2 linked regions of the Sus scrofa genome follow. The main gene of each other region encodes a partner of the protein of the gene in region 2 in a complex. Links are inferred from orthologs where the notes say so. Each region holds a gene or a part of one and is shown on either strand. Other genes may lie near its edges. The genes, in order: IZUMO1R and IZUMO1.

The links.
Region 1: the proteins of IZUMO1 (region 2) and IZUMO1R are in contact, whole or in part, in a crystal structure (PDB 5JKC), measured with the Homo sapiens proteins. The link is inferred for Sus scrofa from reciprocal best matches to the Homo sapiens genes IZUMO1 and IZUMO1R. Residues at the interface, in NP_872381.2 of Homo sapiens: Met75, Val77, Tyr134, Val141, Leu146, Trp148, Lys150, Asn151, Lys153, Glu155, Val156, His157, Ala158, Arg160, Lys161, Ser162, Tyr163, Asn239, Ser240, Ser241, Pro242, Ile245; in NP_001186135.1 of Homo sapiens: Lys42, Tyr44, Glu45, Ile48, Leu58, Trp62, His65, Leu66, Asp67, Gly80, Leu81, Leu82, Met83, Pro84, Gly85, Arg87, Ile91, Met145, Ser146, Tyr147, Gln171.

Annotation. Positions count from the first base shown.
Region 1 is NC_010451.4:26,510,003-26,524,537, reverse strand, and holds IZUMO1R (sperm-egg fusion protein Juno), read right to left. Parts: upstream 8,448-14,535; 5' UTR 8,315-8,447; intron 7,270-8,314; 5' UTR 7,247-7,269; coding exon 7,109-7,246; intron 5,712-7,108; coding exon 5,504-5,711; intron 4,263-5,503; coding exon 4,125-4,262; intron 3,947-4,124; coding exon 3,678-3,946; 3' UTR 3,589-3,677; downstream 1-3,588. UniProt on the Homo sapiens protein: Receptor for IZUMO1 present at the cell surface of oocytes (oolemma), which is essential for species-specific gamete recognition and fertilization.
Region 2 is NC_010448.4:54,068,319-54,082,872, forward strand, and holds IZUMO1 (izumo sperm-egg fusion protein 1), read right to left. Parts: upstream 8,002-14,554; 5' UTR 7,958-8,001; coding exon 7,720-7,957; intron 7,370-7,719; coding exon 7,295-7,369; intron 6,749-7,294; coding exon 6,662-6,748; intron 6,402-6,661; coding exon 6,381-6,401; intron 6,063-6,380; coding exon 5,982-6,062; intron 5,798-5,981; coding exon 5,697-5,797; intron 5,425-5,696; coding exon 5,271-5,424; intron 4,919-5,270; coding exon 4,711-4,918; intron 4,468-4,710; coding exon 4,389-4,467; coding exon of another isoform or gene 4,342-4,388; 3' UTR 4,289-4,341; downstream 1-4,288. Other genes in the region: uncharacterized protein LOC110261360, read right to left, coding at 11,865-12,015, 12,108-12,245, 12,722-13,089, 13,391-13,396; FGF21 (fibroblast growth factor 21 precursor), read left to right, coding at 14,465-14,554. UniProt on the Homo sapiens protein: Essential sperm cell-surface protein required for fertilization by acting as a ligand for IZUMO1R/JUNO receptor on egg.

The sequences.
Region 1 (14,535 bases), on a different chromosome or scaffold from region 2:
AACTCCACACTGCCTACTCCTTTAAATGATCACCTAAATTAGCCGCTTCCCCCAACCCTCCAAGTCCCTTGTCTGCTTCCTTCCCAACAACTTTCTCATTTGTAGTTATTTTTTATTTGTACTGCTTACTCATTCTTACTGTCTTCCTCGTTACTATATAAGTTCCTTGAGACAGGAACCATTATTTTATCTGTGGACATAAATAAGACCAAGCAGATGAGAACAAGCAATGGCAGTTTATTCGGAGCTTTCAATGGAGCCATCACTTGAATTTTTGGGAGACTCAAAGGCAGGCTGAAGCCTAGAAAAAAGGGCTTCAGGAATGCCCTCACTGGAGGCTCTTAGCATGAGGAAGCTGTAGGCACGCTAACTAGAAATGAGGCATTGAATGCAAGTGGATTGTAAAGACCCTTTGGCTTTCTCCAACTGGTCCTAAGTCGGAAACGGGCCAAACGTAGAGAAGCTGTCAGTAACTGACCAAGTCCTGGCCATTTAAGAGGTTAGAGAGGTTATCACTGGGTGATCCTGTCTGGTTGTCGTAGAAAATAGTTTGACCTCTTGGACTGGTTACTGCAGGTAGTAAGTTGGCTTCTGAGGTTGTTACATGTTGTGGGGAAGAATCCTAGTTCTATACACAGATTAGTCTTTGTTCATTTGTATATTCAGTCCTTCGCTCCCCAGGATCAGCAGTGTCTGGTGTAGAGTAATAACTCCAGTTATTTATGAATTAATATAAAGACGACAACTCAGAATTTGATGCTACCCATCTGAGATACAGTTTTTCCATTTCTCTCCTACACCTAGCTTCGGCTTCCTGTCTCTTCACTTGCTTCTACTTGTGAGCAGCTCTTTGCAGGAAACCTCATTTCTTGTCACTTTAGCAAAGCTACATTGTAACTACCTTTTTTTTTTTTTTTTTTTTGTCTTTTTAGGGTGGCGCCTGCAGCAGATGGGAGTTCCCAGGCTAGGGGTCAAATCAGAGCCTCAGCTGCCGGCCTACCCCACAGCCATGGCAACGTCAGATCCGAGCCGCGTCTGTGATCTACACCACAGCTCATGGCAATGCCAGATCCTTAACCCACTGAGCAAGGCCAAGGATCGAACCCATGTCCTCATGTGTACTAGTTGGGTTCGTTACAGCTGAGCCACTGTGGGAACTCCATAACTAATCTTTAAACCAGGCACCGTCATGCTCACCTCTGACCCAAGCACACCTTTCAAATCTTTTGATCACACAGTACCTTGCCTAACCTGTTGGTTCTTTCCCTAGATCGAAGATGTAGAAATGAAGAATAATGAACAGATGACAAGAGCTCTGCCCTAGCTCCCCCTTCACTAATCTCCCCAACACGGACAAGAGAGCATCTAAAAAAAAGATCGATCACAAGATCTCGACAAGCCTGGGAGATGGAGATGAGTCTGATCCCCTGCATCAATCAATGATTAACTGAGATTACGTCCCTTTAAAAATTTTCCTCCCTGAGCAGAAAATTTGGCTGGACCTGAGTTCAGCCATGATGTCAACGGTTAACCCTCAACAGTAGTTGAGTCAGAGACTCTCCGCAAGTGTTTTGTTTTCCTCTCTACATTTTTCTTCGAACTCATCTACTTCCACAGCTCCAAGCAACATTTCCAGGAGAGTGGTTCCAAAATCCCCAGAACTAGTTGTGTTTTGTTCATCTCAATTTAACCCTACTTTGACTAATTTTATATTTATACCTAAAATTACTAAAAAATAATCATTACACTCTCAGCTTTATTACCAAAAACACACTCTCAGACACTTTATTCAACCCCCAATTCTTAAGAGACTTTTACCTATGTGTATATATATATATATATATTTTTTTTTTTTTGAAGCCACATTTGATTGATTGATTGAAGATAAATTAAAGGTCCTGCTTCAGACAGTTCGTGCCTGGGGAGAGTGATTGATTGAAGATAAATTAAAGGTCCTGCTTCAGACAGTTCGTGCCTGGGGACTGGGCTGGGGTTTGTCTCACATTTCCTTCCTGTTCTCCGTGAAGTGACCCTTCTTCACTGGGGCTCAGGCCTCACCCTTTTTGTGAAGCCTTCCTAGGACCCCACCGGGCAGAGGTGGTCCTGCAAACTTCCAGCTTTTTTAAAGTCTTTGTCACCACTGCTGCTGTCTGCCTCCTTCTGCAGACTCTGAGCAAGCTCACTCGCAGGACTCTGGAGGCTGGTTTTAGAACATGAGTGCCCTGCCTGGAATGGGCTTGGGCTTTGCACAGTGAATGAGCACAACGCTCAAGGCAAGCGTGGGAGGGGTGGAGGTGGTGTTTAATTGATGAGCAGAGCTGGCTGGCATCTGTCAAGAATACCTAACTGTTGGTTGGCTTTTCTAACTCAACGGCAGATATATTTGAAGCCTCTCTTGTCAAAGCAAAGGTTGTGAGGGGGCGCCATTTATACTGGGAAGCTGCTGGCTGCAGGCTCCAGAAGGTTCTGAGCCGGCACATCCACTCACTGAGGGAACGTGAAAGCCCCCTTGGTGTCCCTTCTCTGATTCAGCTCTGCCTCTTCCCTCCCGGGTTCTAGGACGCATGCCCAAGAAGCACAGGCTGTATCCCAGCAGAGGGGCTTTAGGACGCATGCTCAAGAAGCACAGGCTGTATCCCAGCAGACGGTGGCACTGCCTTTTTCTTTTTGTAAGTTAAAAATCATCTGGTTCCAACTTTCTCATTCCTCTCGGTGGGGAGAGAAACCATGACGGTCTTAAATGAAGGTCAAGGGACTTGCTAAAAGTCATACGGAAAGTGGTAAAGACATTAGAACTTTGGCTTCCAGAACTTTCACACCAGCATGCTGTGATTCTGAGGTTGAGAAGAAGAGGGAAAGTGGAAACACCTGAGCTGCTGCTTCCATCTTGGGATCCAAAATAGAGCTGAGGGAAACCAGTGGCCCTATGGTCGCCCTGGCTTTGGGTCTTTTGCACCGTGTGTCACTTGCTGAAGAACAGCAGGTGTTGAAAGTACTCTTATCAGAGAGGCGTCCTGAGGATATCGAGGGGGCCTGGCCCGTGTGGAGAAGTCATCGTTAGCAAAGTGACAACCCACTTGGAGACTTTAGTGCCAGCAGGCACACCGGCCCCTGCTTGATGCAGCCCAACCCCGCACCACAGAGCCAGGACCGAGCCCGTCAGAAAGCCTGGAAAGGCCGACTGCTGTTTTTTCAGAGGCACCATCGTGGGGCAGGAGTCCCGGGCTGTCACCCTCAGCTCTGCCGGGCACACGGGGGTGGACGTGCACTGAATGAGACACTGCCTGGGTGGGTGACTATTGGTTGGCTTTTCTAACTGGACAGCAGCCGAACTCGAAGCCTCTCTTCCTCAAGGCAAAGGTTGTGAGGAGACATTGTGTATGCTGGGAAGCTGCTGGCTCCAGAAGGTTCTGCGTGGGCGTGTCCACTGCCGGTCCACTTACCAAAGGACCATGAAAGTCCCATGGGAATGTGGAGTCCCATGTCACAGCCCCCCAGCCTTAGGGCAGCAGGGGTAGCCACCTTTGCCTTCCCAGCTGCCATCCCAGCTGCCATCCAGGCCAGAAAGGCAGAGCGGAGCAGAACGGAACCTGCGAGGCTCAGGCACCAGCTCCTGCGGCCTCAGCATCCCACCCACCCGCACCCTGTGCTGCTCATGTGTGGAGGGAGGCGGGCTCTCAGGAGAGGAGGGACAGGGACAGAGCGAAGGCCATGAGCCTGTAGGAGAGCGCCCAGGACGGGGCAGGGCTGGCGAAGAGGCGGGCCACAGCCGCGTTGGGGTTGATCCGGGTGGGCTCGAACCACTTTTGCAGACACCGCCCGCTGTCCCGGCGCTCCGGGCTCGCCTTGAAGGAGTGGCTCCAGATCTTCTCGCACAGGTCGGCGGGGGTGGGGAAGTAATGCGGGAAAGGGTGGCAGAGGGCCCTCGCCGGGCAGCGGTGCTTCCCTAACAGGGATAGAGGCACGCGACACCCGCTCTGGTCCTGGCATCCCCATCATTTGCCCGGGGCGGGGTGTGTGGGGTGTGTGTGTGTGTGGGGGAAGCAGAGCAGCTTGCACCCGCCCGTGGGTGGGGACCCCTCCCGGGTGGGGACCCCTCCCTGCCTCTGTCAAGCACCACTCACCCCGACTCCAGGTCCAGCCTCCGAGCCAGTTGGATTTGCAGGTGTAGGATGTGCGGCAGTCAGCCCACCACTCCTCACAGTCCTCCTGGCAGAGGGGCGCGTCCAGAATCCGCTCTGCCTGCCCGTGCGGGTCCGTCTGGGTGCAGAGTAGCAAGAGGCGAGAATTGGAAAAGCAGTAATTTGATGAATATTAATAGCTGCCGTGGTACTTGGGTCAGGGACCCTCTGAACATAAGTCTCTTAGAAAGTCACTAAATGTTACTTTACAAATGAGAACGACGAGGCGAGTTAAACAGTTTGTGCCCAGCTCTGTTCCTACAAAGAGAAGATACTGCAGCTGAAAGGTGGCCTCTGTACACCAGCACCAATTAAAGCTCCAAGACAGAGTTCGGGATGAACTAGAAAGACCAGCTTTATTGCTTTGCCAGCAAAGGAGGCCACAGTAGGCTCACACCACAAAATTCTCCTCGCTTGAGAGGGGATAGCGAGGGGTTTTACAGGTTTAGCTCGGAAGACAGGGTTATTGATTAAGGGGTCTGCGTTATTCTTCCTCCATAGATCATTTTAAAGTCATCAAGTCTGGTGTCAACTGGTCCGGGGATGGTTTCTGGTTGTCATCGGGGTTGTTGTTCCTTGACCTTTTCTCTGGAAAGAAGATTGCTTACAGGGAAGCAGTGTTAGGGAGTGGGTTTTTTTGTTTTGTTTTGTTTTGTTTGTCTTTTTTTTTGGTTTGTCTTTTGAGGGCCGCACCTGTGGCATACAGAGGTTCCCAGGCTAGGGGTTCAGTTGGAGCTGTAGCTGCTGGCCTACACCACAGCCACAGCAACGGGGGGCCCAAGCTGCATCTGCGACCTACACCACAGCTCACCGCAACACTGGATCCTTAACCCACTGAGCGAGGCCAGGGATTGAACCTGCAACCTCATGATTCCAGGATTCGTTTCTGCTGTGCCATGACGGGAACTCCAGGGAGCATTTTAATTACAAAAGAAAACGTTAGATGCAATATAACTCTAAAAAGTAACCATTAGTAAAAGAAAGCAATTAAGCAAGGAAGAAATCATTTGTGGAAAACCTGGTTAGAGTGAGTTAGTGGCCAAGGTAGGGCATAACATCATGGAGTCTGTTTTAACTCATTTTCAGCTGTATCACTATTTTCTAATCCTTAACTCTTGAGTCAGCCTTTTGAGACAGAGGGGAGGCCTGGGAGGCTAAAGAAAAAGCTTTTCCCTTCGAAACACAAGGACTTAGGGGCTGGTACACGGTTTTAACACATCTCAAATAATCCCTGCATCCCACTGTTCTCAAGACACCATCCTGCCCATTGCATCTTCCAGGGCCCGAGGTGATGGGACCCTGATGGCCGCGACTTCTGCCTCCCCAGCCTGCCCCTCGCACCTGCTGGATCCAAGGCCCCAGGTTGGGGGAGCACTCGTAGAAGCAGATGGCCTGGAGGAAGTGCTTCTGGCAGCCCGGCATCATCAATCCGCAGTGGACCAAGCTGAAGTTGTAGAGCAGGGCCACGTCCAGGTGGGCCTCCCAGCTGGTGTCAGCCGTGCAGCAGGCATTGTGCTTCCAGGGGATACACTGATGTGGACGAAGAAGCAAAAGGCATGGGCGGTAGGGGCAGGGGCCTGAGGAGTGTCTGGGCCAGAACATTATAATCCCCCTTGAGGAGAGCCCGGGCAGCGGGGAAGTGGCAGGAGGAATTGCCGATAATTTGTTGACATTCACACCCAAAGGGCGCCTGCACGCTGGCTTCCTTGCTGCAGCCTAGGAGTCCCCTAGAACAGGGCTGCCAGGGTCTTAGCTGATGAGGGACAGCTGGGGAACCCCACGGGACCCAGGGGACCATAGGGTTACCCAGAGGGAGGGCACCTGCTAGCTCTGTTCCTCCTCCCTCATCCCTGTCAATTGTCTTTGGGAACTTGGTGGGGGTGGGGGGGGTGGTCCCTTAAGTCTCATGTTTCCTCCTGCCCGGGCCTGTGTGTTTGCTTATTTTGGTCATGCCCTGGCATGCAGAAGTTCTTAGGCCAGTGATCGAACCTTGCCACAACAGTCACCAGAGCCACAGAAGTGACAAGGCTGTATTCTTGGATCCTTAACCTGCTGAGCCACCAGGGAACTCCTCCCCAGGGCCGGTTGGTGGGAGGGCAGAGGAGGTGAAACTTGCGTGTTAGAATCTAGGCTGAACATCAACGGGCTTCCAGGATCGCCCTCTGCCCCTGCTCCCTAAGTGGCTCAGGGATGGAAACTTTTTTTTTTTTTTAATTATTATTATTATTTTTTGTCTTTTTGCTATTTCTTTGGGCCGCTTCCGCGGCATATGGAGGTTCCCAGGCTAGGGGTCGAATCGGAGCTGTAGCCACCGGCCTACGCCAGAGCCACAGCAACGCAGGATCCAAGCCGCGTCTGCAACCTACACGACAGCTCACGGCAACGCCGGATCGTTAACCCACTGAGCAAGGGCAGGGACCAAACCCGCAACCTCTTGGTTCCTAGTCAGATTCGTTAACCACTGTGCCACGACGGGAACTCCAGGGATGGAAACTTTTTAAGTTTTATCAAGGTATAGTTGATTTACAATGCTGTGTCAATTTCTGCTGTATAGCAAAGTAGCCCAGTCATATATGTATACATACCTTATTTTTTATATTCTTTTCCACTATGTTCCATCCCAGGAGATTGGAGAGAGTTCCCTGTGCTGAACAGTGGGACCCTGTTGCCTGCTCATTCTAAATGTTACAGTTTGCATCCACTAGCCCCCAACTCCCAATCAGAGATGGAAACTTTGGATCACTCAGGAATTTTGGTCTCAAAAGATCATAGCCCCCCTCCAGTGGCCTTTGCCCAAATCCCAGCTTAGGGAACAAACGAGTCAGGGTGGATGCGGATTGAGAAACCATCTTGGCCTTTGTGGCCCTTCCCTGATCTGCAGGGGCCCCCACCTGACCCACCCGCCACACCAGGTCCGTCCTCCGTACCTCCTCATAGAGTTTGTCCTCCGGGCTGGGCTCTGGCTTGTGGGGCTTGGCGTTCATGCAGATGTTGAGCAGCTCAGGCCCGGCCCACGTGGGCAGGACCGCCCACAGCCCCAGCAGGAGCTGCCGCCACCACCCCATGGCCTGCCTCGAAGAAGCCCCACCTGTGATGGGAGGACATTGCATTCCACTCCATTGCCCCTGGGAAGCAAGCATGGGCTTCAAGCCCCCCTCATGCAACTGTGAGGCAGCATCACATAAAATGGCCGTGAAGGCTGACAGCCCCAACAACCTACGGACGTAGAACCTGAGGCCAGCCCCAAATGAGTGGGGGTTGGGGGTCGAATGATTCTAGCTTTTCCTGGGGGAACTTTCTCTGGCTCTTCTAACTCAGTGGCATAAGGGCTGGGAATTCAGAGCTTCGAGCCTGGATGAGTAACTAAATACTCAGTAACCAGATTCTCCATGAGGTTAAGAGCACATAGGGGGTTGGGTAGCATGACAAATGCAATCCTTCCTCCATAGAGTGCCAACCCTAACTAACCTTAACCCTAACTCTGGTCCTTCGGAGGGGGTCCACACAGGACCTACAGTTCTTCAGGCAACTGGCCCCCTCCCAAGGTCCCTCTGGGCAGAGTCCTGTCGCCTAGAGCAGCAGTCTGACTCCACTAGCCTCATGCCATCTCAAACCCAGCCTGAGCATGAGGCTGGGGCAGCCAGGAGCCCAGCAGCTCTACTGGCCTCTCAGAGCCAAGGCGTGAGCCACCCACATCTTCTGCATCCAAAACCAGATCCACATTACAAGAACGAGGAGGCCAGCTCTGTTCTGGGTAGTTCTCATTATACGAGAGAGAAACAAACAGAAAGGGCAGAAGCACACATCCTGCCTCCAACAGCCCATCTCTTGGAACCAGAGGCACCCCCCAGCCTTCACCCACCCAGAAGCCCAGGCTCCAGGCTTCTCAGGAACCAGCCCGTGGACCCAACACAGTGAAACCCCAAACCTCTGGCCCAGCTCACATTTAGAGTCTCAAACATCGGGGGTGGAGACCCCGGCTCCCTTTCTGAGCCCACCCTCAAGTCCAAATCCAAGGCTGCTTTCTTGCCTCAGCACCAGTTGCAAGCACAGACATGGCCCTGGAGTGAATCAATTGCATCAGGTGAACAGAGGAGAGATGCCTCCCCTTCTAGCGCTTTCTTCATACTCACTTTCAAAGCAGGAGCCCCACTCTCCTGCCTCCGGAGATTATGAGGCTGAGGAGCCATCTCAGCCTATTTATTACCCTCTCAGGTTCCTGCTGAGCCAAATGCGGATGCAGAGCTCCAGGTGCCTCCCATTAAACAGCATCCATCCTACCCACGTGCAGGGGCCTCCTGTGGGTGGAGCCAGGATGGTTTCACTTTCCCACAGGAGGCAAGATCCTAGGCTCTTTAGTTCGTGCCTCAGTTGTTTTTTTTTTTCTTTCCAGAGGCATGGGGAAGTGTCCCCCCGCCGCCCCCGCCCCGGGATCAAACCCAAGCCGCAGCAGGGACGATGCTGGATCCCTAACCAGTCAGCTATGGAGTTCTGCTCTCAGCTCTGCTGCCTGCTGGCTGGACCACCTTGAGAAAACCCCTTAAACGCTCTGAGTGTCAGTTTCCTGATCTGTAGAAAGGGCTGCTATAGGGGGATTGTTGGGGAAAAGAAACGAACGAGAAAGTTCCTGCAAAGGACTTGGCATCGAGCCTGGCAGAGTAAGTCTAAATGGTTTTTATTCTTAGCTTTTTATCCTATGAAGCTTTTCTCTCTCAGCCCGGTTCCAGAGCTTTCCCTGCCCCTTCAGCAGCTCGGTCACCTGAGATGGACCCCACCTGGGCTGTAATGGTGACTGCGTCCTCTCACAGCCCACGGGAGCTAGGCTTCCTGCTGGGTCCAGGCCTTGGCGGCCAGGGATGCAAGAATTTAAATGTATGCCCAAAGCCAAAGCAAACAAAACTGAAAAAAAATCCCTCCAAGCCTGGGAGACAGGCTTCCTGAGAGAGCAGGGACCGCTGTCCAGCGAGAGATTCTGCAACTGCCCTCAGCCATGGTGAAGTTCACGGGCGCATCCTCCTCAGCTGAGGAGAGGCAGGAAACGTGGCCAGGCTCTTAGGAGAGTCCCCAAGATGATGAAAACTCTGGAAAAGGAGCCCATTTCTTGGCCTGCCTCCTAACAAGTTCCCTCTCTGAAGGAGAGGTCGTCAAAGTCACTGGCGTCTTATCGACACACAGGAAGTTGAAACATGACAATGAAAGCATTTTTAATTGAAGCAAAGAAAGCAGGCTGTTTAGCTACACAGGTGATGTGCAGACGGGAATTAACCATCGAGCTGGAAAATGCTATCCTCCACGCCTGGGTTGTCGCCGTCACTGCGTTCTGAGCTCCGTGAAGGACCTGGGCACCGGGCTGGGCCTTCTGTTTGCGGTTTGGCTTACTCCTCACAACGACCCTCCTCTGGTGAGCATCCTTCCCATGTTACCTGTGAGGAAACCGAGACTCAGCTGGGGAGTGGGCAGATCCAGGATCTGAACTCAGGTAAGCATGACCCCATACCTGGTGCGTGAGGACCCGGTGGGGGGGAGATCTCCAGGGCTGAAAGGGGAGGTGCTGCCTGTGGGTCAAGTCTGTTTAAAAACCAAAAAGAAAAAACATGCCCTAATCAGATTGTGTGTTGGGCGTCACGTGTGGGCTTTATCTGAGAACAGCGATGATTGATGTCTAGCCTCTCGTGCTAAACAGAGTCAGGGGTCTCTTCCTGTTTAGGGTCTGGTACCAAAGAGCCCACGTCTCTCCCTGCAGCATCCCAGGGCAGGGGAAAAGCAGGTCTGGTTCAAGTGCATGTCTGGTTCAAGGCATCATGAATATTCAGGAGGCCCCAAGGTCTGATGAGGTGGGAGAGCTGGGGTTTAACGTTAAGCGCCCGGTGGCTGTGGATGTGGCAGGGACAGGAATCCGGCAGTGAAGCACAACACTAATGACTGAAATGGGGAGACAAGTCCTTGGGTAAATGTCTTTTACGCGGAGGGAGGGAGGGAAGTGGAGGAGGCACGGCTGGTGGGCCCTGGGGAGAGGCTGTGGGAAATGAGCAGGAAGGATAGGGCAGGTGCTGGGGGGCAGAGTGGGGCGGGGTGGGGGCAGGGGGCTGCAGAGCAGCCTCAGAGCAGGCTGACCTCTGCACCCCCAGAAAGGGGGTCTGCAGCCCTTGAGGAAAACGCGTTTCTGCCCTACCATGATTGAGTCTTCCAGCGAGATCTGTTTGCTGACGGATAGCTGATAAACCAAAGCTGCCTGTGGAGGAAGCCATTTGAAATGGCTGATCGCCAACAATTTTGTTCTTAAACAAAACAGAACAGTTAAATAGCCAAGAGCAGAGCTAGAGCAGCATCCAGAGGGTTCTGAGGGGGAGGCAGACAGCAGCGAAGGAGCAGCTCCGCCTCTGGTTTGGGACCACGGCCGGAGGTGGCCAGTGCTAATTCTCTTCTCCCGACTCTCCCGGTCACCCAAGGTGCTGGAGTTCCAGAACAGACTAAGAAAGCAAAGAGCTAGTGCCCTTCCTGGTCCTCTCACAGCCTCCGTCAGGATCCCACACTTTCCTGGCACTGTCTGCCGACTTTCGTGTTTGCTAATAGACCAAAGCCCCTGGACCAGTGGAGATTGTGTCTTGTCAGTTTCACAGCTGTGACTGCTGAGCCTGGTACATGGCAGGCACTTCGTAGGTATTTGTAAAATGAACAAGTGCTTTTCTTTGGTTAAAAAAAAAAATCACCCCCCCCCAAAAAAACCCCAGCAACTTCTCTCCTATGATTCATTTTCACAAAGAAGCATGCCAGGAAAAATCCTGGGACGCCTCGGTGTTGTAGATAGTCACAGGTATAAGTGGCATGTGTGTGTGATGTGCAGGCTTTCAGATGCTCACCCTTTTAAAAAATTTGTTGTTTTACCCTCATTCACCTCTCACTTCTGACTAGATAACTTGTACCCACAGGCCTCAGCTGGCTCATGGTCCTGACTCCCCACAACTCTGTTAGCCATGCAGCTTCCCAGATGTGATCGGTGAACTGTTTTTCTCTCCGGCATAATTTCTCTTAGTACACAATTTCACGTTTAAAGAATGAAATTGGATTAGTTTCTATTTTTATGGATTCAAGAAAACAAATATGCATTTTTCTAGATATGTTTTAGTTTATGTCTTTATCTTCGCTTACATTAAAGATGTCTTGTGAAATGCACAGATGGGTTGGAAGGTCCATAATGTGTTTTGTGGCTTATAGAAAGAAATCAGTGGAAAGGAAATAGCTTTAAGGTGACAAATGTGTGACTCTTTGTACCCTTGTGCCTATGAATGAAATGCTAGAGAGGGGGGGAGATCAAGTTTCTAAAAACCAATGGGAAAACTGCCTCAGGTGATGCCATGATTAAGCAGTTGTCGTTTCTAGAAAAGTGAACTTTGTGATTCTTCAGTGAACACTTCCTATACCAACATGATATCACATTATGTGAAGCTGTCGAATGTTTTGTTTGCTTAAGACTTAGTTCTCTGGATAATGGTAATTTTTGCGAATATTCAATGACTCCAGTTTACAAAACTAGATTTTTAATTTGCTAAGTGGCTCCTCATACTTGAGTTGATGATTCTGTTTTTTGATCAAAGCTTGTGGAATGTCTGGTTGCCATGGATACTGGGGCTTAAGAGGCGCCATTGAGTCATCTTACTGTATTGTCCTCAAAGCACTTCACCCATCTGCAGAAATGTAGAAATTCTCTTAGTTCCTCCACATTGCCCAGCATGGTGGTTTCTTTGGATCTGGAAGAAGTTTTCAGGGGCTGTTTCTCTTGCGGGATGCATGGTCCCTTTGGGTGAGATGAAGAGACACAAGCCACCACTGTGATGATTCTGAGAACTGTGCCTTCCCCCATTCCAGGAGGAAGGAGAAGTCAAGGTTTCTCAGGAATGACTGATCCAGGCCCTGTGCCAAACTCTTGGGAGACCTCATCTCATTGCCTTGTCTGCTGGTCAAGGGCACAGGTTGAGTCTAGTGCCATACTATATACGACATAGTGTATATTGATTGGTACAAATGATTGCTGAAGAGTGAGCACTTCACCCTGCATAAGTATTTAACCTGTTGTACAGATGATCTCAGAGAGGTTAAATGAGTTGCTCAAGGTCTTATCTCCTTATCATCTGTCATAAGATGTATTAGGAATGGTTAATTTTGTATTGCTAGATTTAAGTGGCAGGATGTCAGAGGAGAAGACTTAACATCTCTGGGAAATGGATTAGCATATTTTTGGTTGTACACAGGATAGTTGTATCATGCGGAAGTAGGACACTGATATCTTTACTTGGAGATTAAGTATGATTTAAGACATGTATCAGTGCCAAGTTGACAAGAGTAAACTGTGGTGGTCAGTTTTCTATGTCAGCTTGTCTAGGTTATTGGCCTCTTTGATTCCCTCAAACACTAACATAGGTGCTGTTACAAAGGGAGTTTGTAGAATTTTCAAGCCCATAATCAGTGGTCAGTGATGAACACAGATTTGAGTCTAGGTCTATCTAACTTCTAAGTCTGTGCTCTTCTGTTTTACATTAACCAGATAAAAAAAGTCTACTGAGGAGTTCCCGTCGTGGCTCAGTGGTTAACGAATCCGACTAAGAACCATGAGGTTGCGGGTTCGATCCCTGGCCTTGCTCAGTGGGTTAAGGATCTGGCGCTGCCATGAGCTGTGGTGTAGGTTTCAGACACGGCTTGGATCCCGCGTTGCTGTGGCTCTGGTGTAGGCCGGAGGCTACAGCTCCGATTGGACCCCTAGCCTGGGAACCTCCATATGCCGCGGAAGCGGCCAAAGAAATGGCAAAAAAAAAAAAAAAAAAAAGACACACACAAAAAAAGTCTACTGAATTATTTCTTGGCACTTAAATCTTATAATAAAATCTGCAGAGTATTCAAGACCTGCCACGCGGCAGGACTGAGCTAAATGCGTCACTCAGGTGATCACATAAGAGTCCTAAATGCTGATCATGACGAAAGGGGGGTGCAGAAAATCTCTGTATTATGGGGAACTCCCCCTTTTTGTTAAACAGCTGCACCTGCTGCACATGGACGTTTCTGGGCTAAAGGTCAAATTGGGGCTGCAGCTGCCAGCCTACACCACAGCCACGTCAACACCAGGTCTGAGCCACATCTGCAACCTATGCTGCAACTTGCAACAATGCCAGATCCATAAGTCACTGAGAAAGGCCAAGGATCGAGCTGGCATTCTCGCAGAGATAGCATTTGGTCCTTAATCTGCTGAGCCACAGTGGGAACTCCCCAATTAACTCCCATCCACATCATTCCCTAAAGGATGTTCCCTGAAGCTCTAGTCTCCAAAATGAGTGATTATTTTCATGACCAAAGAGGTGGAGACATAGTCAAGCTCTCAGCACCTCCTGAGGACTCAGTGTACACGCTGAATGAGTTACAGCCTCTGAGGGGTCCTGCAGTCAAGACATTTCTTGAACTCCATTTAACGCAGCATTTCCACAGCACCCCTCGTGTATATTAAGGTCATTAATAGCAGAGCATGGGTGTTCTGCCAATCGCACGTAGGGAAATGCTGGCCTGCCACATGGCACTAGACCTCAGTTTCACAGCAACAACAGTGGGAAAGAGGCTTAGACCATTTTAAGCTCCTGGGTCATACATGTTATTTAGATAATGCTTCACAAATATTTATAGCACCTGTTTGTGAAAGGTTTTATGTGGGCTGAATTTCTGTTCAGAGAAGCTTCATTTTTCCCACGGGCTACATGTCCAAATTCCAGTGTAAGGCACTTCTTGCATTTTTGGTTTAGAAAACCTCTAAATTCTTTTTTTCATTTTTTTTTTCTGGCGTGCCATTTTTATTTTATCATTTCTTTTTTGTATATATTTTTAGTGAGAGTTTTTTTTTTTTAATTATTTATTTATTTATTTATTTAGTCTTTTTGCTATTTCTTGGGCCGCTCCCGCGGCATGTGGAGGTTCCCAGGCTAGGGGTCCAATCGGAGCTGTAGTCTCTGGCCTACGCCAGAGCCACAGCAACGCGGGGTCCGAGCCGCGTCTGCGACCTACACCACAGCTCACGGCAACACCGGATTGTTAACCCACTGAGCAAGGGCAGACCGAACCCGCAACCTCATGGTTTCTAGTCGGATTCGTTAACCACTGCGCCACGACGGGAACTCCAATTTTTTTGTATATATTTTTAGTTATCGTCTTAGTGGTTATCCTGGGGATTATAAATTAACATCTAAATTTCTGACAATCTAATTTGAATTGATACAATCTTCACTTTTTTAAATTTTTTTTAATTTTTTAAATTTTTTGTTTTTTATTTTTTTGTCTTTTTTTTTTTTTTTTTCAGTTATTTCTTGGGCCGCTCCCG
Region 2 (14,554 bases):
TTCAACCTGAGGATGCGGCATAGGACTCTCCCGGTAGAAGAGGATGTGCCTACCTGGGCGTCTTGGTAGCCTTGCAGTAGCAGGAAGTAGGGGCGGTTGCTCGGGGCCTGGATGAGGCACTGGGTCAATTGGTCAAAGTCGCCGGGGTCTACTGGTCCGATTTGGGCGTCGGCTGCGCCTGGGGCCATGCTAAGGGCCTGCTGCCTGCGCTCCTGCTGCCGCCTCCGCCGACCCTGCAGACTGAGCTCCGATACGCTGCGCCGCAGGGACAGGTTTTCCGAGCGCTCCTTGCCCCCGGACCCAGCCGGGGGCCCTGACCCGGACCCCGGGCTAGGGCTGGCCAGAGCCGCCCCACCAGACGCTGCCCGGGAGCGGTTCTTCTGTGGCCGCCACGAGGGGGCGCCGGTGCCTACGGAGAGAGACGGGGAGTGATGGATGAGACTGAGACAGAGGAGGCTCAGCTGGAGATGATAGCCAACTGGCTGTGAGGATGCTTCCCACATTTCGTTTTTTGCATATGCTGTTCCCTGCGCCTGGAACATACTTCTTGCCTGACTCTTACCCATCTTGCAGTTTCAGCTCATAAATTCATTCATTCTTCCAATTCGTTGTTAGGTTTTTTGTTTTTGTTTTTGGCTGCTCCCGCAGCATGCAAAAGTTCCCAGGCTAGGGATCGAACACGCGCCACAACAGCCACCCAGGCCGCTGCAGTGCCCATGCCGAATCCTTAGCCTATTGAGCCATACGAGAACTCCTCAGTATTTTCTGAACAACTCCTATGTCCTGGGCACTGTTCTAGGCACTAGGGACTTTGCAGTGAACCCGAGAAGATCCTCCCCACAGGGAAATAGGAACCACCTCCTCCTGAACACCCTTCCCTGACCTTCCAAGTTGAAGCAGAGAAGGGCACCACTGGGCACTCTGAATGCTGCCTGGGCCCAGCACAGCCCTGTCACCCAGTAGGTGCCCAGTGGAAATGAACGAGTGAACTGATGTATTTCTTACTGGGCTGTGAAATCTAGGAAGGCAGGAACTTCATCTGTCAATGTCCCCATTGTAGTCCCCCAGGACCCTAAATCCTATGTGACCCATAGTAAGCATTTCATGAATGCTCTTTGGGAAAAAAAGGAAAAAAAAACAATGATGGTTATAACTGCTTTTTTTTCTTCTTCTTCTTTTTCTTTTTAAGGCCACACTCAAGGCATATGGATATTCCCAGGCTAGGGGTCGAATCAGCGTACACCACAGCCACAGCCAGATCCAAGCCATGTCTGTGGCAACCTACACTGCAGCTTGCAGCAATGCTGGATCCTTAACCCACTGAGCGAGACCAGGGATCGACCCTGCATCCTCATGGATCCTAGTCAGGTTCTTAACCCGCTGAGCCAGGATGGAAACTCCCTGCCGTTCTTTATTTAACAATTACTATGTGTCAAGCCCTGTGCTAAAAACCCTTTATTTGCACTATCTCCTTGAATCACCTAGGATTTGGCTGTATTTAACTGGCAAAGAATGGGTTGGAATCCAACCCTGACTTCGAAGCCTGTGAGTGTAACTGCGACACCACTCTGTCTCACAAAGGAAGGCTCAGGAACAGAAAAGCAGTGAGAAGGCTCCCTGAGCAGGCGCCACCCTTGTGAGCCAGGCCCCACCCCTGCCAGGCTCTGCCTCACCTTTGCTATTTTACCACCAGTGCACCTGTGCTCCCATTCCGGCCCAGGCCTTCTCAAAGACCAGGCCCCCAGGTAGCCGATTCTTGGCCAGTACCAATACCTCTTCATTTCCCATGCACCACCCTCAAGCCCCCACTCAAGCTTTGCAGCCAACCCAGTCTAAGGCCACTCGTTCCAAGACCCACTCCTCCGAGACTCTTCCCATTCTTAGGCTCTGATCTACCAGCCCATGTTCCCACTTTCCAGGCCCGTGCCCCTTCTAGCCTCCATCCACAAAGGCACTGCCCCTCACAAACCAATTCAACCTACTACTACTGACAGGCCTCCCGACATCAGGACCACTCACCTGCTCCGCCCTGTATCTCTTCCTCCCCATTACTCCATTCCGCGGCCCCGCCCCAGTATCGCAGGCCCTGCGCAGCGACGCTGCACCTATCCCAAGGGCAACGACCTCCGGCCTAGCCCACCTGGCTGACCCGAGTCCCGTCCCAGTTTCGTCTTCCCCTAGACCCAGGGCTGTATCGGCCCCACCCAGACCCCTCTCGCGGGCCCCGCCCCCAGCCCGCCGTCCGGTCCCACCAGCTTCTCTGGCCCCGCCCCCCCAAGCCCCCGCCCATCCCTCTCCGCTGGCCCCGCCTTCCAGCGTCCGCGCCGCCAACTCACCATCGCCGTCCGCCGCCCCGAAGGCTCCTGCTCCAGGCGGCGCGCCTCCTCGCGGCCGCGCAGCTCGAAACGCCGCGCCCAGCCGGGCCGCGCCCGCCACAGCTCCTGCACCAGCAGCGGGCGCTCGGAGTCGCCCAGCACTCGCAGGTGCTCCGCCCGCCACTCACCGCTGCCCACCGCGCCCGCCCCGGGCCGGCCCAGCGCGTCGCACAGCGCGAAAGCGTCCACGCAGCTGCTCTCGCCGGGGCCGCTGCCGGGGCTGCCGGCCAGCCCGTAGCGCTCCAGCGCCTCGGCCACCAGCTCGCGCGCCGTGGAGCGCGCCGTGGCCAGGACGCTCTTGTAGTTGGCGCCCGAAGCCAGCCCGGCGCCGAAGATCTTGAGGACCCCCGGGGGCGCCGTGGCGCGGGCGGCCAGTGGCGGCTCGGGGGCCACGCCCGCCGCCAACTCCGGCAGCTTCTTCTCGCTGGCCCAGCGCTGAGCTGCCCCCGGAGTCCCGGGACCTCCCGCGCCGCCGGACCCCGTGGTGCCGGTCCCCGAGCCCCGAAAGAGCTGAGAGATGCGCTTGGCGCGGCTCCCCGAGGCTCCCCCGGCCGCCTTGACCGCGCCCACTCGCCGCAGCTCCACGTGCGGCGGCGGCGGGGGCAACGGCTCGCTGCTTCGGCTCCCCGTGTCTGAAGACGAAGACCTGGCGGCCCGCCGGGGAGCAGAGACGGGGGAGAGAGAGACCCCAGAAGACACGCAGAGACAGGGTGGGGGATTAGAGAACGAAGGAGGGGGGCAAAGACACAGATGGGGGAGCAGAGTCCCAGAGCGAGTGGGGGACAGACACCCACAGAAGGGCAAGAGATGCGGGGTATATAGAAATGGGGGGCACAGAGGCCAGAGGGGGAGGGGGGGAGAGAGAGAAAATAAATAAATAAATAAATAAATAAATAAATAAAGGCAAGTCCCACAGAAGGAAATTCCAAGAGGTGAGCAGGCACGGGAGGAAGGAAGGTGAATCAAGCTGCTGCTCCTTCTGTGTCCCGGTCCCCCGTCCCCGTGTCCACCCGGCCTAAGCCCACCTCCAGGACCCACACTGGCCCCATCAGGCCCTGTATCACTGGGGCCAACTGTCCCCTACTGCCAGCTCACTTGCCCCTTCAGGACAGGAACTGGAGCCAACCCTTTCGGGGTCCCGGGCATTTTCCAGTGGAGGGACCGAGTCCCAAACAGGGCGAGACCGGAGGCAGGTGAGGTGGGGCAGGAGTCGGGCAGAGGTGGGCACTACTTGACAGAGGCAGCGCTGGGCCAGCGCCGCCCCAGCTTGGCCAGCTGCTTCCTGGGAGAATTGATCCACAGGCCCACCGGGAGATGGAGCTTCCCGAAGCGGGGGCTTCCGCCCTCCTTCCGCTCACCAGATAGCATGGCCCTAAGGGAGAGCGGGTAAGGCCCCCACTCACGAGGCTTGAAGAGCTAGAGGTGGGGGTGGAGGGGGACCAGGCCTCCTAAGTCAGAGGGAGGAGGGGGCTGGGTGGGAGAGAGGAATGGGGCCCCGGGTGGCTGGGATGGGGACCCACACCTGGGTCTGAAGGAGGAGGGGTCTGGACCCTGGGATCCCAGGCTCTTACCCTGTTTCGGGTCCCGGCAGCACCCGGGGCCCCTGGCTCCTCTTGCCCTGGATGGTTCCTGACCCCGCTGCTCCTGTTCAGCCTCTGCCTCGGCCCCAGCTCCCAGCACTGGGTGGGGGACAGGAAAAGGCAGAGGAAACCGGCAGGAAGAGCGGGGAGGGGGCGTCCTGTGAGGGGACCAGGCCTGGGGGAGGAGATCTGGGGAGGGCTGGCCCTGCCCCACTCCTTGATTCTGGAATCACATCGCAGCCAGTGGGCCCCTTCCAGGACCCAGGGGGCCAGGTCTCCAGCCCCTCCTCCCTCAGTCGGGAGAGAGTCCCCAGACGTCTCTAAGGGAACCAGGTTAGAATCCGTCCGGAGGAGTGCGTCAGATACTTAGACAGCTACATTAATCTTTATTTTCTCCCTAATGTTTTCCTCTTTTCCTTCGAAACCCGGAGTCCTAAGCAGTGCCTTTGCCAGGGCTGAGCGGGGAGGCCTTTAGGAAATTCATCACTTTCCCAGACTGAGAGAAAAGTATCCTGGCGGGGGTGCAAATAGCGGAAAGAGGTTAGGTCCCAACTGAGTGAGGAACACCGCTTCCCAGCCTCCCCGGTGCTTGATCTCATTCTAGCATTTAGCCAAGCTTCGCCCTCCTAGGTAAGCCCCGCTCCCGGAGGAAGGCCAGCTCTCGGCGATCGTGGGCTCTCAGAGCCTTCCTGCCTTAGGGACTTGGAAACCCCGCCCCTCACTCCAGGCCCCGCCTTCTTCAGGGGGCGGCTCACGCGGTCACGACGCCGGCTATCAGCACCACGATGGCCCCGATGAGCAGCCCTACCAGGCGGTGTCTCAGCACTTTCTCGGGCCCTGGAGACTGTGATTGGAGGGTTGCGGACGTCTGGGGACGATCCAAAGTCACCTCACCCGGAGCCGTCTCATCCTGGGTTTCGGTGTTTGGTGACGGTGTCTCCTCCACGATTCTTTTGGGCAATACTGAGAGAGGAGGGGCAAGCAGCAGTCCTGGGGGGGCATCAAGGTCCCGCCAAGGCCCAGGCAAGCTCTCCTCATGGCAACCCGACCAGGCCCCGCGGGACAAAAATCACACCCCCAGTTGCGTGAAGTCCGAACACACCCAGTGGGGGGGGCCCTGGCCCTGTGGCCAGAGGCCACACTCAGGCCAGGAAGCCACACCTTTGGGACCTGAAACCACAGGCCGATAGAAAGTTATGCCCACAGGCCACGCCCCGGGAGCAGGCCACGCCCCTGGAGCTGGAGTTCCACCCCCCCGACCCCCCCAACCTAGGGACCATCTGAATCCCACGTCTCTCAACAACCCAGCACTGACCTGTGACATGAAAATGGATGATGGTGGCTGGAGTGGATTGTACAGTACCCAGCTCGCAGCGATATGTGCCTGCATCCTTCGGACTCACCATGGTCTTGGTCAGGGTGGGCTCTTGCCCCTTGGCCATCAAGGTCTCAGAGTTGTTCTTCCAAACCTAGACCCAAGCTCAAGGGGTCACAGAGGCCTGGGGAATTCAGGGGTTGGGGGAGTATAGGGGTGAGAAGATCACGGGGCTTCAGTGGTGAGGTGGGAGTCCAAGGTGTCCTGATCAGGGCCTAGGGTCCCAGGGGAGCAGAAGAAGCCAAACTTGGTAGGTCATGGGTCATGGGCATGGTGGGTGCAGGCCTGTGGGTACAGGGACCGGGGGGCTCATACAAGCCTGATGGCCTTGGACTTCAAGGGTTAACAGGAGTTGGAGGACCTCACCCTGTAAAAGCTGTAATCCGTCAGGCCTTGAGAGACTTTATGCCAGTTGAGCTCACAATCCAGGATCATATCTTCCATTTGATGGACCTTGACTTTGCGCTCTGGGAATGGGGAGTTACTGTGGGATGCTCTTTCGCGGTTCTCGGCCCTCTCCCAACCCTTCCACTTGACATCAGCCCCGCTGTTTCCAGTTGGCTGGCTCCAGTCTCCACCCTCTTTAGACTCGGTCCCTCCTCCGGCTCCACCCCTCTTGCGCTAGTCCCACCTGCTGGGTCCAGGGCTCACCTCCACAACTCCGGGACTTTCGACAAGAGTGAACCTGCTTCTGGCAGGTACTGCACCAGATCAGAGGCTGCAACATCAAACCTGAGGGGGCAGGATCGAGGTTGTATTCTCTCACTAGGAGGCGGGGCTAAAAGGAGAGGGCAGGGCCAAGGGCTGGGGCAAGGTCAAGAGCCGAATCCCTAGGAGGTCAGCCGGAGAGGGGCGGGGCTAGAACACAGCCCCCTGAACCAGGCTCAGAAGAGTGCCAGCAGATTAGGACCCACTTCCCAAGAAGTGCGGAGGAATACTGGAGACCCAGGAACCTCTGGGGGCAGAGAACGAAAGATTGCATGGACCCAAAAGTATATTCACGGGGCAGGGATGAGGGATAGAGGACCAGGTCCCATAATCCGGACTCACCACATTTGTTGGGACAAAAAACTGTCTCGGAAGAAAGGGGAAAAAAATAAGAATCAGATTTCGAAGTTAAAGGGCATGAGAGAGGGGATGCGGAACAGGTGAGGGCTGGGCCTTCGGAATGGGGAGGAGGAAGGACCTGGATGCCTGTACCCCCTGGGTCTGAGGGAGAAGGGGGTTGGGAGAGCTGAGGGATCCGTGGCGGAGAAGCAGAAGGCTGGGGACAGGGACTCTTAGACTGTGGAAGGAGAAATCTGGGGTTCCCGACTCCCATCTACACTCACCCTCTTTTTGAAACTGAGCAGCATAGCTGGCGAAGGTATCCTTTGCCAGGCGCAACGTCCAGAACAGCTCATCCACGAAGAGCTCACCTGGGAAGAAGCAGGATGACGCAGAGAAGTCCCCGCCCCCACCCTCCTGCTCCCCCCGGGTGTGCGGTACAGCTACCTGGCCTTTGTCAAGTTGGCAGAACTGGCGGTCAGTTTGGGGGTCTTTTTAGGGAAGGGCAGTAAAATTTAACGACCACTTAACATGATGCTGGCCACGGGGCAAAGCACCGACTGGGATGAAGGGTCTGTTATGGGCTCCATTTCAGAGATAACGAAGCTGTGCAATTCCTTCGTGTTATTTTATTTTGGCCACCCCTGCAGCGCAGCATGTGGACATTCCCGGGCCAGCAGCGACCTGGGCCATGCAGTGACAATACTAGATACTTAACCCGCTGGCTGTGCCACAAGGGAATTCAAGCTGTGACAGTCCCTGCTCAAGGCCACATGGTTAGGAAACAGCAGAGCCAGAACTTGAACCTCAGCAGTCTGGCTCCAGAATCTAGTACCTGATCACCAGACCAGGTGTCACCAGCAATCACTTCCCTGAGAGTTTCTAGAAGCGCTCTCCTGCCCCCTCTGCGCATTTACCTTTTACGTCACTGTCCGTGATGCGTTTCAGATCCTTCAGCAAGCTCCAGGATGCCTTTTCCAGAGTGGCCTCATCTGTGGGGAAATTAGAACCTCAGATTCCAAGCCTTACTGTCTCATTGGCGCGCCTCGTCTTAGAAACTACAATACCCATGGGGCCAATGGGCAAGGATAGGCCTAGTAAAAGGGCTTTTACACCCCGTTGCCTTCTGGGAATTGTAGTCTTATCACATAAAATTGCAGGATAAGGGGTAAGAGGAACAGTATTTGCCAGCCCTTGGGGAACCCCGAACTCTGCATCCCAGCCCTCTCCACTCCCAAACCCAGGAAACTCTGCCTCCAGCCCTTTCTCCCTGGTACCTCCTAGCAATGCTAACCCCAGACCTCTCCTTCCCCGGGACCCAGGAGTTGCACTCTGCCCTCACCAACGACCCCCATGTAGGAATCCTCATCAATCGGCAAATCCTGGAAATCCTTCACCGCCTGCTTTACCCTTTTCATCACGTCTTTGTGATGTTTGGCCTCCAGGTGGCCAGGCAGGTAATTTGTTTCCAAGGAGCTCAGCTCCTCCACGACTTTTGGGTCACATATGACACAGCCCCGGGCAGGAAGCAGGCAGCCGGCCAACGCTGCCACCAGGAGCGAAAGCCGCTGCGGCTCCATTGCGGCCAGAGCTCGCAGTCCGCGCGGAACTCGCGGGGAGGACCTCTTACCCTAAACCGAGGAGGTGAACGCTAAACGGAGAGAAGCCCTTCTCCGAGACTAATGAAGCCCCAGTTGGCAGGGAGCACCCTTCTCATTAGGAAACCGAGGAGTCCTGAAGCACTCTAAACAGCCAGCCGCTTCCCGACCTTGACTCCTAACAGGGATGCCCTCGAACGCTAGGGTTCGCTAAAGAGTCTAGGTTCTGAGGGCTTTTAGGTGGGAGAAGCAGGCCGGTCCTTCCACGCTAATATTTTCCCAAGACCAAAATTAAGAACTTTGTTGGGGGCGAGGGTGAGGTGGGCTGCGTGGTATAGAGAGCTTTTGTTGCGGGTCACAGTCACGGTTCGCTCCTTACTACTAGGACCTCCCGCAGCATCCGCCTTCTAGCTACCCACGTGGAGCCCCAAATTCCCAAGAGATATTCCCTAGGGTTTCCTCCGCCCTGCCCAGAAGTTCGACTCTGTCTGATTGGACCGCAACATAAGGATGCCCCGCCTAGACCTCCATGATGTCACAGAGGCGGCAGCCTTTGCCGACTAGAACTTTCCGAGCATCACCGAAGGCCAGGTACCCTGTCGGCTCTAGAGCCAAGGAAAAGGCTTCTAGCCATCAGTCTCCTCCCCCTCTGGGCCCCAAGACCCAGGCTTTTTGACCAGAAGCCCACGGCTTTTGGGGAACCCAGTCGTCGGGCCTCGAAAACGCGGGGAGCGGCCCTTTCTAGTTCTAGGACTACGACTCCCAGAAGGCGCCAGGGTCTCTCCCTAGTAGATTACCGCAGCCAATCACATAGCTTTATGGGAAATGTAGTTCAAGAATTATAAGCTTTGCACCCTCCCTCCCTCCTCCATCGTCTGGGGCTGGATGCCAAGGTCCCAGAGGAAAAAGAGGTCTGGGGGCCAATACTGAGAGTCTGGAAGAAAAGAATTGAGGTTCTGAGACCACAACCCACACAACTGCAGCAACAAAAGAGCAGGAACAGTCTCCCAAGACATGAGTCATGCGAGTCTGCAGAAGCTCCATACCTTTACTTCTCCTTACACACACACACACACACACACACACACACACACACACACGTGTACACAGAACTCCAAAAACCTGCAGAGGCGGGTTGGTGATGTGGACTTTTAATTCATACTTCCCTCTCTCCCACCAAGGGCAACTGAGTAGGGACCGGTGCCCACAAATTCCCTGAGAAGACTAGAACAGGGCTTAGATTCTCAGACAACTCTATCATAAAAGCATCTGCCTTCACTCCCTTCAAAACGCATCAGGAGGATCCTAAAACCTGAGTCAAATGTCCCATCCTCTTTGGCCAGACCCTGTGCTCCTGCCTGGGTTGGAGGCCAGGCCATGGGCTACATACCTTCAGAGCCTTCCATTCCTGGCTTGTTCAAAGCCAGATTTCATGGTCGTGTGGATTCGGGGCAGATAGGGGTTAGCAAGAGGCACGATATGGGCGGGTCTCTGCAATGGGCACCCTTATGCCAAGTGGCGTTTGGTAAATCGACCCCATCAGCCTCAGCAGCCCAGCTGCCAAGGAGGAAATATCCTTCAGTGGGAGAGGAAATGAACTCAGAGCCAACATATGCACATCTACCTACCGTTGGCAGTTTGGGGGCTTAAAAAAAAAAAAAAAAAAGTTGTCCCTAGATTTCTGCAGAGCCTTGCTCCATAACCTGCACCATTCAGCAGCCATCCTTTTCCTCCTCCTCCCATATTTTAGTATATCTATGGTTTGTGGTTTTCTGGGGGATGGAAGGTTGGGGAAAGTTCCGCCCTGCTCCCAAACCACCCCAGCTACACAGGTAGTTTGTCTTCCATCAACCTTTCTAGCAGTGGTGAGGTGGTGAGCTTCTGGTTGTACCCTCATCGGCTTCTTGGCGGAGGTTATCGAGAATTCCAGAATCCCCTCCCCTCTGGAAGGGGCCAGAAGGGTTCTTTACAGACCCTACCACTGACCCTCTCTAGAGCAAACCTTCCCCCAGAGCCCTTGGAGAAACAGAGGTGGGGGGTTGGTGAGTGCTTGCCCCACAACCTCCAAGAGGTCCTTCAGTTCTGACACCCCAGGGGGAGGAGAAATATCTCTTCTAGACAGTCAACACTGGAGCAAGGAGTTCCCTGGGGAAGGGGGCAGACAGCCCTCTAGAAGTACTCTGGACACGGGCTGGGAAGAACAGGTGGGCAATGCGAGGTCTAGAATGGCATTAAGCGTCTCCAGACATTGCCAGCCATCATGAAAAGCTCTTCCACTGGTTCTAGAATGTTCCACCCTTGCAGCAAGCCCCTCTGCAGGGTTTCCTCTGAGTCCAGCCAATTAGAATCACTCTTGAAATAAGTGTCCAGCTGCTACAGGACCACCAGCATCTCCGGAAGTTACTGGGGCTTCCGGAGACCCATAACGCTGGCCCTGGGTTGACCGAGGCTATTCCAGAAAGGCTCCTGGCTGGTTCAAGGCCCAGCCAACATCTGGAGTGGAGACAAGTCTGCATTAATGCCCACCCACTCGGGCAGGAAGGCAGCCTCGGGTTTAAAGATCTTCAGGAAGCTGGAAGTGGGCAGGGTGAAGTTAGCCAAGTAGATGGTATCTCCACCAGCCAGGTAGGCGGCCCAGAAGCCGAAGGTGCCAATGGTCATGATGGTGTGGTTGCACTGCACCAGCAGCGCAAAGTCCCTGGCGGGCGCGGCCTCCCGCCCATCGCCAGCAAAGATCACGTCCCCCCGGGAGGTGTCGATGTTCTTCCGGCACCACTCCATGCCGTTGCTGGTGACCACAAAGACGGGGGCTTCGTATCGGGCCCGGAACCAGTCCATAGCCTGCTGGAGGTAAGCGCCATCACCCACCACCCCCTTCCAGCGCTTGGGCATCACACGCAGATAGTCCCCGCGGCGCACGTGGACCCCCACGAAGGTGCTGGGGCGGTCCCCTGTGCGGGGTAGACGGAACTGACTCAGTACCCCCTGGGCCTCTTGCCGAAGGTGGTCGTGCAGGGTGAACTCGCTGCGGATCTGCTCCCGGAGGTGGTGGAAGAAGGTCCAGGAGCAGGGGAAGCCGGTGAGCTTCAGCCAGGGCTCCTTTAAGTGGGCATAATCCTCGGACATCCAGTCGTGAAGCTCCAGCTCCCGCCAAGGAGCGTGCCTGTCTACCTCGGGCGCCAGGACAGGCAGCGTGATGCGGAACACGGGGGCCAGGACGGCGTGCATGGCAGGCTGGATGAAGGCCTGGCGGCCGTTGAGCTGCGTCAGGGCCAGCAGCGTGGCATACTGTCCCATCTGGTTCCCAAACCGGCCATCCGGGTAAATAGTCCAGGTCCCGGAAAGGAGGCAGGATGCTTGGGACAGGAATCGGAGGCGTTGGGGTGTACCGGCGTGCCCGCCAGGCAGAATATGGCCACGGGAGATGATACCACGTTATGGTCTGGACACAGGGCCAGCAGGTCTAAGCCACTGTAAAAGAGGTCTTGATAGACGTTCAGGAAGAAAATTGCTGCTAAAACACAGACTAGCAGGAAGGTCAGACAGAGGTGGCGGCGGCTGGGGACCCACATGGCTGCAGGGAGGAAAAGTGAAATTAGCAGATCCTCGGGGCTGGAGGCTGAGCGGCAGGGAGGAGAGGCCTGTGGGCATGAGGAAACTCTGGCTTTGAACTCCTGGGTCCGTCGGAAAAAGGGAGCCGGGCTCTGGGGTTTGAGTTAGCAGGTGTTGGGGGCTCAGAATTTCGGGGGTGGGAGATGGTGAAAACGAGTGGTTTCCAAAGTTAGCGATGCCACGGGCGGGACCCACCGCCTGGTCCCCACATCTTGGAATCTCCGTCCCGCGGGCTGTAAGGGCCACTGACCTTGAACACGTCCCCCCACCTCCTTTCTCAAGGACCTGCGTGGGCGGGGCAGAGTCCACTATGGAGGTGACAGCAAGCAACAGGTCGGGTAGAGAGCGAGAAGCCCCAGGCCCACGTCTGGATGGGAGCTGTGGACTCCTGGAGGAGCAGGAGTTGGGGGTCGGGGCGCAGGAGACACCTGCGGGTAGCAGGGGGTTAGGGGTTGGGGGTGCGCCTCCTGGTACTGAAGGCCCGGCTCCTGGGTCCGAGGCATCCGCATCTCCCACTTACCTGAGCTCCTGGCGGGTGGCAGATTCCCAGTCATAAGTGCAGCCCGCATCCGGCGGCCCCCGGAACTCCAGGTTCCCAGGCCCCACAGCCCTCCCCCTCCACGCCGCCTCCCCCGACTGGCTGCAAAGGTTCGGGAAGCTGAGGTAGGAGAAGGGGCGCGGTCGGGTGGCTCTCAGCCTCCGCCCCTCCAGGCCGAGAGTCGGAGGCGGAGCCCCACCCCTTCCCTGGCGCCCAGCCCCGGCTCCGCCCCCTAGGGTGGCAGCGCCCACCTCCTGCCCTCCCGGGACCCCGAGACCCGCGCCCCAGCCCCCTCCTCCCCGGCACTGGCCAGCCCGGGGCAGCGCCCACCTGGCTGCCCAGCAGCCACATCCCTCCGCGGCCGCGGAGATCCAGCGGCCAGATGCAGCGCTGGACCCAGATGTTCCGGTCCATCAACCTCTCCCTCTTCCCTTCCAGTTTCTTGGTTCGCCACCCGCCCTTGTACCTGGATGCGCCGAGTGCCGCCACGCCCCAGCGGCTTGGGTAGGGACGCCGGGGACGCGGGGGACACCCGGTCCAGGCGTCGTGCGCGGCCCCCCGCCCCCCTGCCGAGTCCTCCCCGGGGGCAGCAGAACCTGTTCGCCAGGCTCCTCCGCAAGCGGATGCGAGGCCTTCCCCAGCTCTCCGGGTCCGGCGTGAGCGCGTCTGGCGCACCGGGGCCGCCGATCGACCCCCTCCGCCCGCAAAATGTCCGGGTTCCCGGCTTCTCCTTCCGGCGGAATCCACTTTCTAGACGCGCACGTCTCGGAGGCCGCAGCCTCTTCCCAGGGCGGGAACGGCGAGAGCCGAGGTGGAAGTGGATCTCTCCTGCCCCTCCCGCAGAGGCCCGGGCTGCAGCCGGCTTCTGGAACAAAGGCCGTGCCCTTCGGCAGACCCGAAGCAGTTTCCTTGCCCAAGGCCGCTCCGCACCCACCCTAGCCCGGGCGGTCGGACCATTGTCATTCTACAAAGCAAAGACGCTGGAATTGCACTTGACTCTCCAGAGATTTTTTTTTTACGGCTGCACCCGCGGCGGACGGAGGTTCCCAGGCTAAAGGTCCAATCGGAGCTGCGGCTGCCGGCCTCCGCCGCAGCCGCAGCCACGCCCGATCTGAGCCGCGTCTGCGACCTACACCGCAGCTCATGGCCACGCTGGGTCCCTGACCCACTGAGCCAGGCCAGGGATCGAACCCACGTCCTCATGGAGACTAGTCGGATTCGTGCCAGCTGCCCCGCAAGGGGAACTCCCTCTCCAGAGATCTGACCCTCATTTCTCCAGACCCGGATTCCCAGACCCCAGACCCGGACCCCAGCCCGCTCCTCAGCACCCTGAGCAGCCCAGGCCTCCCACCGCCCCCTCATTCAGATCTGATGCCCAGTCTCTTGCACCCTGGGGTTCCGGGAAATTGCCCGCCTCTTCACTCTCTTTGGGATCGTGGGTCTAACTTCTGCCTCTGAAGCCCAGGGTCCGTTGCCAACTCTGAGTCAAAGACTCTCACCCCCGCCCCCCCTCCCTAGGCTATTTTAAGGGCACCTGTCTGATCCTGGGTAGCTTCTCTGGTGAAAGAAACACCGGGATTGCATCAGGATCCAGGCAGAGGAGGCTGGATGTTTGGCCTCTGCGTGCCTGGGTTCGGGCTGGTGTGGAGGTTGGCTTGAAGCTTCCAGACCAGGAACACCTGGGTCCTTGAGGAGCGGACGCTTTGGTCATGTGGCCTCTGCTCCTTCCCCGAAGGTCAAGGAACCTCAGTGTCCCACCCCAGAGACGCAGAAATTCAGGTGGGATGCAGAAATTCCAGCAGCCGTGCGTAGTTGCGATCAGTCAGCCAGAGAGGTGGGTTTACCGGGCTCCTAGCCCCCTTCTTGTTCCGATTCAGAAGTCCGGGCCTGGCCCCCTCCTCCCTCAGACCAGAGTCTGGGCTTCCGGCCCCCTTTCACCCAGGTCCCAGTTCATCAGCCCCCTGAGCCCTGATCCTCAGACCCCAGAGTCCAGGCCCCCAGCTCAGAGGACCCCCCCATTGCATCATCCGTTCAGGCTGACCTGGCCACCGTGGAATCCCAGCTTCTGCCAAGTGGGTCAAATATCATGGGTCAGGCATCTGGAAGGTGATTGGGCGGGTCTGTCTGGATATAAATTCTGGAGCTTCTGCATCCATCCCAAGAGATTTGGGTGTTCCTGTCAGCTGTGAATTCAAGCCCAAGAGGACCTGGGCATTTGGACAACTCAAGTAGTGTGAATCTGCTCTTCCAGACCAGCAGCATCTGCAGCAGCAGAATCTAGAGCATTCAGCTGTTCAAACTCCCAGACCCCAGACCTCACCTGAAGACGTGAGCCATTGATGGGCTGGGCCGAGGCCAAGTTCGAGCGCTTGGGACTGTGGGTCCCTGTGCTGGCTGTCCTGCTGGGAGCCTGCCAGGCACGTCCCATT